3 linked regions of the Drosophila melanogaster genome follow. The protein of the gene in region 2 interacts with the protein of the main gene of each other region in a pairwise test. Each region holds a gene or a part of one and is shown on either strand. Other genes may lie near its edges. The genes, in order: Cda5, CG9624 and CG12896.

Region 1 (4,939 bases), on a different chromosome or scaffold from region 2:
GTGCATGCAAAACAAAGTTGCGCCATGCCAATGGTCGTACATGCTCGTATAAAGTGTTCAGGTTACAGTCAAAGACCTAGCGAAGTAATTTAATGACGATCTTCCGCGTGCGCCAAAACTTTCGCACGGTAAGCATTGACACTGCCTGCGGTAAAAAAGAGACGAAATGATTAGGTCGAGGCGTGACCACCATACTAATGGTTTAACTGGCATTGAAACTGAATTATGATTAAAACCCCTTTGTTATACTATTCATTAAACACGCGCTTAAACAAATGTTCTTGCAAATGTTCAACTTTCGCCATTGGCCTCGTCCGCCTCAAACCTTTTTCTTTCAGCCATCGACATTCGCATTAAACCAGTAGTACATCAAATGTTTTAACACAAATTTCCTAGCAATTACGCATGAAAATATTTCCATGGCGGCATATCTAAGGTTTTACCCAAATATATATTTCTGTGGCTTAAAAAAACACCACTCAAAACACTGAGAAAGTTCATCAAAATGGAAAGTGTTGCCACTATGCCTAAACCAAGTCATGCAAGTCTTCATACCCTTGCGGAGGGTACATTCACTTAAGTCAGAAATTTCAAAGCTGTGAAGGACACAATTGTGCCCATATATGGTATATATATTTCTTGCTAAGTATCAACGACCGAATCGGTATAGCAGATAGATTATAAATTGTTTAAAAGAGGACGATCGGACAGCCGGGCTTGGCTATTTCAAGTTCGCTGTTTTTACTAATATGTTATGAATAAGATACATATATGCACTTTATAAGGCCACAAAGGTAATACAAAAAATCTATCTCAAAACAATTTAGCCGTCTAATGCTGTTATTATAATTTTAATAGTGTTAATCCTTACCACGTTATCTAAGCAATTTTCGTAGTTCCCAATTTGTTTTCTCAAATTTTGCATATATATCATTCATAAAAAATGTCTGAACAATTAAGCAAACTGTTTTAAAAATTATCAACAGTTATTATAGCCACAATTTGCTCGGTTACACCGATACACTCACTCACTTAGTGAACCTATTCAATCGAGTCAGCGAGCTGTATGCAATTAATATCTGTGTCATAAGCTGCTTGGTTGGCTGCTGGCTGATAACTTACATAATTCCATTACCATTACCCAGCAGTATGGTGAGTAGACAGCCCAAGTGACCAATAGTTGGACACGGTAAGGCTTGTTATGGTCGAAATGCTTGATTATGTTATTGTTCGCTGGTAAATAGAGCAGTTGATCAGACCATGTATTTACCTCCATACATACCCTAATGTAAATACTCTTACTTTTTATATATCCTAACACATTTCGCAGTAAAATGTCTTAATATATATATATATATATATATATTAAAATAAATATACATTTTTGGACATATTAAGAAACTCGTTTAGCCGGAGCCGGAGTATCCACAATAGAGCTCAACACAAGTGGTTAACAGCTGGTGGTTTGACTTCTTCTACGGTGATTGAATTTGACATTAGACTATTGCGAGCTCGTACATGGCAGCCGGAACAGTGTTCAAAACAAGTTTGGCTTTATTTGCGGAACATAATATTTCTATCACGAAGTTTCGAATATGATTGAGGAAAAGAAGAATCCATAGTACTGTAAAAACAATTCACTTAAAAATAAAACTTTTTCGGATCTACGTTTAAAAAAAGATTTCAGTTCATACATGAACTGAATACTTATCCATGGTTGTCTTAAAATCTGGTTAAGTGCTAACTCTTCTAGGACTAGTGGGTAAAGTGTGTAAGCCCTTTGCTCTTTTAAGTTTTTGCCTCCATTTGTATTTCTAGCAGAGTGTTCTTCACTGAAGTGGGCATTACTCACCTGTTTTAAAAAGCAGTAGGCACAATCCCAGCAGGCACAGAATGTTTATTCGACTTGTTGAATACTTCATATTGCAGGTATGGCGTGTCGTCGTAACTGTAACTGTAAATTTTCTTGATGTGGTTGGTTCAGTTTCGTTTTGGGGTTAGTTCACAGAATTTAAAATACCATAGGCAAGCTCGGATAAAAATAGTGGTTGGAAGCGCGGGAAGTGGGGAGCAGCAGCAGCCACCGTACCGATGACGGAGGCAGTTACCGTTGAGAAAACCTCTGTTTTGTTGAAAACAATTGCTAAATAACTAAGAAGGCAGTGTCGCAATTTTTCAATTTAGATTTTTTGAGCCTTGTGTTACAGTTTTCTTAATGGTGTGTCTGGCTTATGCCGCGACTGCGGCTTTGTGGCTGTGCCTTCACTTGGTTAGGACATGTTTGTATTGTTGTAAGCAGATTTAGTTTCTGCCCCTATTATTCGAGCTTTCGTTTGGCTTTAACCAACGCGACGATGCATAGCTAACACACACGTTTACAGATTACAACACTTAGTTTTCCTCCATTGCTTTTGGCAAGCGATTTTTAGTTAGGTTTTTTAGTTTCTTTCACGTGAGACTGCAATGACCGCTGTTCGTTTTGTAGTTACCATGGAAAAGATTGCTAGACAAAAATGCAAAGAGATCAAATCGAAGATCGGTGTTTGATTTAGATTTCCCGTACGGTATCGCGGGCACCTCCATATTGGAAAACTCTGTATGAACTAGTCTGTAGCGCGTAGAGGAAAATGCGAAACAAAATAAAACAAAACCTGCACGTTTTTATTTTGTTTGTCGAAGCTTGTATATATATTTAGCGTAAACTTTCTTTTTAACGCAAAGTTAGCTTACCACCGACACACACGCTTGAGCTCTTCGACTAAACTGCAAAATGCAGTTAAAACTGCTTTCTACAAAATGTTAAATTTTTGGCTGGTTGCAATGTCCAGTCAGAGGTGGACTTTATTTCGACGCGTTTACGAAATAAATTAGCAATCGAAAGCCCAAAAATTGATTGTGGCTTATTGCAAACAGTTTAGACCGCCTGACAAGTTCGGGTGACCCTCGAGCGTCTCTGCTTACCGTGCGCTTAAGCGAACCACACGTCCTAATCGAAACAACTATACAGCGCGACTGTGCGGACGAGTGTCTTGAGACTCTGGGCAAGCGCAGCCAGCCAACCAAGTTTCGAAGTCTGGCTTTTGGGCCAAGCTTGGTCTGCGCCACGCTTGGCCCCGACTGTTACTTTACATTAACAGACTGTTCAAGTTGTTGCTGCACCCGCGCGGAGTCGTTTGTATCTCTTAAGCTTTTGAAAGTAAGAGTAAAGTTAACGCTTGCGCCATTGCAGCTTTGCTACGTTTTACAAGTTATACAAGTTATCAGAAAAATGTAGTCCAGACCCATATTCTTAGTGAATTTCAACATTTTACTGAGAATTTCATCCAAAGCTCCCCATCAGTTTCAAGCTATCTACAAGCGGGGAGCGGGCTTTGTTTATTGTTTTCTGAAACTACAACAATATCCACCCTCTAGCCAACGAAGGCTGGGAAACTATTTACCAAGGCGATTGTGAAATGTTGTTACCTTTTTCGTTACATTTTCGTTTAGCAGCAGGTTTCTGGATCGCTCGATAGTGGATTACGGTGCTTAAATTAAAGAATGCTTACTACTTCAACATGGGCTTGGACTTGAATCCATGTCAAGCATGGGATCGAAGGAAGACCACTCAATCACTTTTAGAATTAATACCACCCAGCTGAATTGCCCTTGATAAATTCGATTTATATGCCCAACATATAGCTTTACTCTAAAGTCTAAAGTAAAGTGGCCAATTTCGAACCATAGAATTGAAAGTAAAACCGAGTTGAAAACATGGCAACGACCAAGAACTAGGCCAAAGCAGCCAACCAAAGCCAAGCAAAAGCTGTAAAACAACAGCTGAAGTAAAGGGGTTCTGGTGAACGGCGATGGCTGATGGTTTGAGCAAGGCATGCGAATTAATCTAATTCTTTATTTATTAATTTATTTTTGCTGGATTGTGTTTCACACGATTTTTTCTGTGAATGGAGGGCGAGGTGTTTTGTTGCATTGAATATTTTTGACTTTGTTTAGGAAATTATTTAATTATTTCCGTTACTATATTAAAAAGTGTGTAACGAAGTGTATCTTGAACTAAACGTTTCGGACCATATAAAATATACAAATACTTTATCAAGACCATTGGCAGAGTCGATCAGGCTTGTCCGTCCGTATTAACGTCGAGTTCTCAGGAACTATTAAAGCTAGAAGGTTGAGATTCAGCATACATATTCTAGTGACATGGACGCAGCGCAAGTTTGTTGTCCCATGTTGCCACACCCACTGTAACGACCTCAAGCAACCCGAAACTGCTACGCCCACATTTTTGAAAAATTGTTGCATATTTTTTTGTATATTTTCATCAGTCTTGTAAATTTATATTCATTTGCCAAATCCATTTTTTCCACGCCCACTCTTACGCCCACAGACCGCCCATAGCTATCGTTATACTAAGAACACTTTGGCGGCGTTCCTTCTAATGCCCACAAACCCCCAAAAGCTGCCACGCGCACACTTTTAAAAAGTTTTTGAGATTTTTTTTTATTTTATTATAACCCTTGTAAATTTCTATCGGTATACCAAGAACACTTTGGCCACGTTTGGTAAAACAGGCGATTTGGCAAACTCATTAATGAACCGTAATAACTCCGTTTCCTGAAACAAATATTTCTTCTGTTATGTATATGAAACCTGTCAAAATATGGTCAATAGTTAGCACGCATTAAGATATCGCAAGTTGATTCAGACAGAAAAAGCTCAACGGAAAATGATTGTCAAATTGTTGGCCCTCAAAACTCGCCTATAATGTTTTCGATAAAGTGGTTACCCGACAAGTAAACCCGCACTTTGCTTACACATGCAATTCGAATCGGTCAGAGCCTTCAGTTTATGGTATACTTGAAATATTGGAGCATTGTGCTTAACTCTTGAATAATAAATGGAAGACAAAAATACAATAGTTCCGTTAATTGAAAAAGTC
Region 2 (3,344 bases):
CAACAAAACAAAAAGGAAGCCCGTAGAGAATGAGGGGAAGTGCTCCTAACTTCACGATACCCGCAACTCAATTTTGCTGCATTGTGGCCGCCGGTCCCCCAATTTGCCCCAACTGCCTGCCGGCAACTTTTATAATCAGTTTCAAGTTTGTTAAGCTTTGTAATAATTTGTTGAGATTTGGTGCGAAATTTTTCGATTTCGTTTCTTTTTCGCAAACAAACTTGTTGTGAATTGTGCCGTGGGCTCAAGTCTGCCAACTTAGCGGAGGCACTTTGACAACACATCGGAAAATGGTGGTGCAGGCTTCCGCCTGCGTCAATAATCGGGTGGCAAGTGGCAGGTAGCGTGCGTCTGACTGCACTTGAAGGCAGCTCCAATTGGGCGGCCTAATTGAAGCGGTTCCTGTTCGGGCGCCACTTCAACATGATGGCTTGAACGGCCGGGCGGAGCAAATCAAGTCGTATCAAATTAGGCGACGTGAATAAGTATTAAACTGGGCTAAAACAGATGTTATGATGTTTAAATTCGATTTATTGCATGTAATATATATAATCTTGTGTAAACTTGAGATTTTTTTTACATTTTGAAATTTTTTTAAAAGCAATAAATAATTACTTGTCTATAGCAACTTCAGTTGGCATTTGCTAATAACTGCTGATGGAAATTAATTGAAAGAATTTGTTCTATGCCCGTCGGATTATCTTATAGGTATCGCAGGTGCAGATGCCACGAAAACGACTAAATACGAAGACAAATGGCTCTCCGCAGGACTTAAGGAGCTGATTTTTCTGTGCGTGCACAAAAGCTGTGCGAAGGGAGTATTGCACCTCATCGTGCCATGAGTTATCAGCCGATTCTTCCACCAAATACGTGTGGAAGACATTGAGCACCTGAAGCGATCGTTCCATGCGAGGTGTTCGAGGCAATGCCAGTAACTGAATATATGGACGAAACTTTATCCAGCGCTGGCAGTCCTTAATGTCCACATCAGTGCCCAGATCGATAATCATTAGCTTGCAGTCGTGATCATGAATGGCCCTCAAGATGTCCAGCTCCATGGGTCCCTTGAAGCACTTCTGCAGCTCCTCAGTGATGGTGAAGCCCAGTTCGTGACTGGGAGTTTGCATGGTCCAAGGATAGCGCCGATTGGCAAAGTCGTACGCCAACTTCTGGCGACGCTCCTGCTCCATCCTCAGTTTGTTTACCACCTCATCTATGGGTCTAATGTCCCGGGATCCATGGCGCAGAAAGTCCACCTGATTCGACGCCGTTCGCTCCTCCACCTCCTGGTTTAAGGCATTCTCAGCATCCTCGTTCTCGATCTCCTCCCTTTGGGCTCCTTTGCAGCAGCGCAGCTCATGTGGCGGCATGTAGAAAGGAAAGCCCACCTGGGACAGATAGATATGCCAATCCAGTCGATTGAAGGGCTGCCGGGGCACAAAGAATTCGTCCGGCTTGGTCTCGATGCGACAGACATTCTCGTCCAGGATCAATGGCCATAGCACGTCGAAGAAGGGGCTACCCAGCGTTCGTTTGACTTCGGAGGTATTCATTTTGGGTACTTGGAATTTCTATTCATGTAATTTGGCCTGGCTAGCAAATGTGTGTCTATGGCAGAATTTCCGTTGCCTCGCTATCAAATGCTTAATAGGGTGACACAAATCTGCTGGCATCTACATTAAAATACACCTAGAAATATTTGGATTTCTTAATTTCAGCCCAAAACTTAATATACATTATTTCAACAGATTTTTACGTATATTAACATGTTTACAGAGTCTTTAGTTTCGTAGCTTAAAATAAGAATTAAAATTTATAAAATGTATATATGCTTATTATCTTTTTTCAAAAAATTCGCAGCAGTGAAAGCACATCCCTTCCTATCAGCGAAATAAATCAGCTACTGGCACGCCCCCTAATAACAAAGCCCTCCCACATTTTTCTATAGCTAAACTTGTTTGTTTGCATTTGTTGCCAAATTTATGCGCACTCACAGGCAATAACGGTAAGTAAGTATTCTCATCGGGAATCGGCAACAACAATTTGCGTAAATTTTACGACATTCCATGCCGTATATTCACGGTAGCCGACGATCGCCATTATTTTATGAGCTGAAACAGTGAGGTGAAACAGGATTTTATGACGGAATGCAGGCGCAACAAGATGGCCGCGATTTTCATTATGCCCCAGTTCGAACATACATACATATATATTAGTTTAAGGAGGGCGTGGCAGATCCGAAGGGGAAATGGCTGTGACAACGGTGACGAGTTTTCGGGCTCATTAGCTTTTATGGCTTTGCTTTTATTGCTCGCGGCGTGGCAGCTTTAATTTCAAACACAAAGTGTTGCCTATCGCAGGGCGCTCGGGCGCCTGGTTTTTGGTCCTCCGCATGTGAGCAATAAATTTTCATAAATCAATTGTTCGTGCCACGTTGAACACAATCAGTGGGCTTACAAATCGAAGGCACCTAGCAAAAATCCAATCCACAAAAGGTTTGAATTTAGATTTATGTCGGTGCACCGAAAACCGAGTGACGAATGCCTATTTTACGCCTCGATGTTCAAACACTTATTGTTTTAATATTCAGCGCCAGTGCGAAATTTTGATTCGAACCCACGATTTTAATTTTACCACGATGATTTATCGCATCCGGTTAGCCTTAGTTGCCTTCTAATTTTCAAAATTTAATTTTGCTTTCGCTGGAAAATTTAAAGCCATAAGTGACCGGGAGCTAAAAACACCGTATTTGTTTTACTTTTTATTTCGTTTCATCTATCAAAACGCGACGACTTTTTCCAGCTCTCTGGCCACAAAAAAAAGTTGTCCTCTATATGCGGGATGTGTATAAAAATTTATGTGTATATTTATTGTGTTTTATTGGGGCACTTAAGCGTCAGACTGTAAGAGAAAACCGCGAGAGCAAAAACCGAAAGAAAAAGCGAAGTCAGCTGTATTAAAAAAAGTCAAGGAAAAAGCCATGCAAAAGAAAAACTGAAACAAGTAAGGACAACTGAGACGCTTATTGACATAAAAGCCAATCATTTTCAAATGGCTTTAAGCATTCGACAAATGGAAAAGCAGCCCCAACATCAAACGGAAAATATACACAAAACTCGAGCGTAAAACTGGAGTCATTTTTTTTATTATTTTTTTTTTTTTGGCTATGCATTTGAGTTGGCACACCGCAGAGAAAAGGCCACAGGAACTTCCAGTAGATGCACTTTGAACCCGTTCTGCGGTTTGAGGTTCTCTACATAAATAAAAGCCTTACAGAATTTTTTTGCCAGAAAAATAGATACGCGGAATTCAGCGTCTCAAAAGGGAATGCTTGAATATGAAGG
Region 3 (3,430 bases), on a different chromosome or scaffold from region 2:
AAATTTAGTATATATTTATATTAGTCTTGTAAGTTTCTGTCGATTTGCAAAAAACTAATTGCCCAGCCCACTCTAACGCCCTAAAGCCACCAAACCGGTCACACCCACACTATTAAACAATTTTAAAATTTATTCTCATGTTATGCCCCAATATCGATATCTCAGAAAAATGATGAAATTTCGCGTTCGGTATCTGATAGTCGGGGTGTTCGACTATAGCATTATTTCAAGACTAAAAATGCATTGCATTATATTACCAGTAGAGCAATTTACATATGTAACAAGTAGAAAGAAGGAAGCGTTTTCTACCCTATATAGTATATATATTCTCGATCACGATTGCTAGACGAGTCGATTTGGCGGTTTATGTCTGTGCGAATGAACGCTGCTATGCGACTTTCTTTCGATATTGCGAGACAATTTTTTCATTTTATTATATTTTGTAAAAATATTCATTCGCAGTTTTGTAATATTTTGTGAAAGCGAAGCTGACAAAATAATTTTTATTAAAATAAGAAAGTTTTTAATTAATAGTTTCAGAATATAAAATTTTTATTTTGCAGTAATTAACTTTTTATGGCACAACAGGAAGAAAAATACATGCAGGTATGTAGGTCTTTAATAGTTCTCAGTGGTGCGAACGTAGTTTACTCCAGATGGCATGGATACTTTATCAAATCCCTTGGGGAAGAGTTTATGAGCCTCGTCATCGGTGACACTGGGCAGGATCATGACCTTAGTGCCAGGCTGTTTATGAAACAGAATTAATTAGTTCGGAACAGTTCGCATTAAGTGGGTAGAAAAACTTACGGTCCAGTTGGCGGGAGTGGCCACCACCTTGAGGCGATCAGTCAGCTGCAGGGAGTCAATGGTCCTCAGAATCTCGCTGTAAGATTACAGGATCGTCAGTTGAGATTAACAATAGTTGTAGCCAGAAAGAGGTACTTACTCAACGTTGCGACCAGTGGACATGGGGTAAAACATGGAGAGGCGCACCTTATGGTCCGGACTGATGATGAACAGGGCGCGGATGGTCTTACCCACCTCGGGATCCTTCTTCTGCTCCTCGTCGAGCATGCCCAGGGTGACGGCCAGGTCGCGAGTAGGGTCGGCGATGATCGGGTAGGGGAAGTCCCCGGGAATGTCCAGGCAATAGCTCTTGATGTCGTTCACCCAGTCCACGTGCGAGTTCAATGCGTCAACGGAATGCGCCAGGCACTTGGTGTTCCGCTTGGCAAACTCCGGCTGGTGCACCGCAATCCTGCCCAGCTCAGTGGTGCAGACGGGAGTGAAGTCGGCGGGGTGAGAGAAGAGCACCACCCAGCTGGCGATCCGAAGGAGAATTGGTAAGATTCGATCAGAGAAAAAGGGTTTGATGGCACTTACGAGTTGCCCTGCCACTCGTGGAATTTAATGGGCCCCTTGGTTGTGTCGGCCTCGAAGTTAGGTACGGTCTGTCCCAAACGCATCTTGCTGTTTGATTTTTAGTTTCACTTGGAAAAAAACTTGTTAGTTGCTCAGCTGGTAGCTGTTATTAGCTCGCACACTTGTTGCTTACTGAATACTGACTGGGAGAGCTCGCTGTCTTTTATACCCGACTGGATCAATTTGATGAAAGGGGACCGATAGAGACAGAGAACGGGAGCTGGCTTATCGTATCATATATGTACATATGTATGTTTGTATGTATAGTACGTGGTGCTGCGGGTAGACTAACAAACAACTCAGTGATAATTGGGGACATTGTGAGGGGAAAGATGAGGCCTCGTACGGGGTCTCCATATTTGTGTGAACCTCAAGAGGGGCCTTAAAAAAACCTGTTTGGGGCGTCACACAAAAATGGACTCTGTGACGAACACATTTTAGATGTAACGCAAAATGAAGTACAGTTTCGCATATTTCTTTTAATTTAAACTTGTTCGAATAAATCAATCAGTCCAGAACCAATTCCTTCAGGATCTAGTATCAAAACAGCTGATTTGATGCAGTTGACGGTTTTGCCGGCTCCAAACATAAACAGAGAGCGAGAGCGCATTTAAATGTTAAATGGTGTTGGTAAACAGAGGCGAAGCACCAACACCTGCAAACATACAGCCACGCCGATAGGCGGATATTGAGAGCGAGAGAGCGGCGAGCAACGTGATGGTATTTGTGAGTGCCTGCAAAAATCGCACACTTCCATAGATCGCACGGCTCTCCCGTTCACGTACAGAAAACGAGCCTCTAATTGAAAGTGAAGAGCGAGTGAAATCGTGAGACTGTGTGCGTGGGTCTATCGAAAATTAGCACACCAGCATAGGTTTTCTCTCAGTAAGTCACACATAAAGATGGAATGGATTTGGGAAGTCGGATGGGCAGATCGCTCATTCAGAAGGCAAAAGACAGTACGCATGAAAGCAGCCCAAATAGGAATCATATGGTTAAAATTCAATATCTAGTCATAATGGATACCAAAAATGCAACAATTGATAAGTTTAATTAGAAGAGTTCCCTCCCAGTAGCTCGATCGTGTTTCATAAGTTACAAGTACAGTTTTTGTGCTAGTGTATAAAGTCTAATCAAGAATCCAGCAACATTCGTCTCTACACCAGACGTGTGGTAATTTTCCACTGTTTATTATCAGTTACGTGATAGGATTTCTATTCGGAAAGGAAGTAACTAAAATACAGAGTGAAGGTTGAGGCGAAACGAACAAGAACGATTAGAAGAGTGAGATAGAAAGTGTCAAAGCATTTGAGAGAAGCCGTAGAGCGAACCGGTAAATTCTGCAGCATCGATAGTCTGTCAATCGAATCGAATCTTTTGAATTTATGGCGGTTTTTTTTACCAGTGCAGCGATCTCTTAATTACATTCTGGGCAGAGTACTAGAAATCACTAAAGTTTTTTGCGCTGATGCATTTTTAAATCTGGTTTCAATGTAAAACGCGTATGTTTGACATTCGTCATACTTTTATACCATAGGCAGAAGTTTCTAAGTAATAATTGCCCTTAATATTCTTATCGGTATGGCGTAAAGTATGCGCTAAAAATAGATAATATGATCTTTTTTTATAATTTAAACCAATATTTAAAAGATTAAATTAGCATTAAAAAACATAACGAATTACGTAAGGTTTAATTTTACCCAAAAAATAAGATTGCTAGCAATAGTGCAATAATACCCTCCAAAAGTATTGTCAAGGGTTTTACCTAAAAACATTTTAAGATTTTAATGGCACTTTGGGAAGTGTGTTACTGCTTATCAAATTTTGAATTTAGGCGCCTAAAGAGATTTATTCGATAAGAATAATCGATAGCTGCCGAGCGCACTCTGATGTTGTCAGGTGTCGGAATAGATATCGATATCATCGAATGAACATCGGCTTTTGTTCCAGCTCTATAGCATAAAGTCAAAACTTCGTAGATTTAACAACTCATAGCAATCGTTTG

What was found.
Region 1: the proteins of CG9624 (region 2) and Cda5 interact in a two-hybrid assay, tested with the Drosophila melanogaster proteins (one large-scale study listed by BioGRID).
Region 3: the proteins of CG9624 (region 2) and CG12896 interact in a two-hybrid assay, tested with the Drosophila melanogaster proteins (one large-scale study listed by BioGRID).

The regions. Positions count from the first base shown.
Region 1 is NT_033779.5:56,229-61,167, forward strand, and holds the start of Cda5 (chitin deacetylase-like 5), read right to left. Parts: upstream 3,041-4,939; 5' UTR 2,962-3,040; exon of another isoform or gene 2,731-2,961; intron 2,504-2,730; exon of another isoform or gene 2,021-2,503; intron 1,966-2,020; exon of another isoform or gene 1,955-1,965; 5' UTR 1,923-1,954; coding exon 1,853-1,922; intron 1-1,852.
Region 2 is NT_033777.3:14,227,517-14,230,860, forward strand, and holds CG9624 (uncharacterized protein), read right to left. Parts: upstream 1,630-3,344; 5' UTR 1,554-1,629; coding exon 684-1,553; 3' UTR 502-683; downstream 1-501.
Region 3 is NT_033778.4:10,426,351-10,429,780, forward strand, and holds CG12896 (uncharacterized protein), read right to left. Parts: upstream 1,566-3,430; 5' UTR 1,470-1,565; coding exon 1,387-1,469; intron 1,325-1,386; coding exon 950-1,324; intron 887-949; coding exon 811-886; intron 748-810; coding exon 619-747; 3' UTR 530-618; downstream 1-529.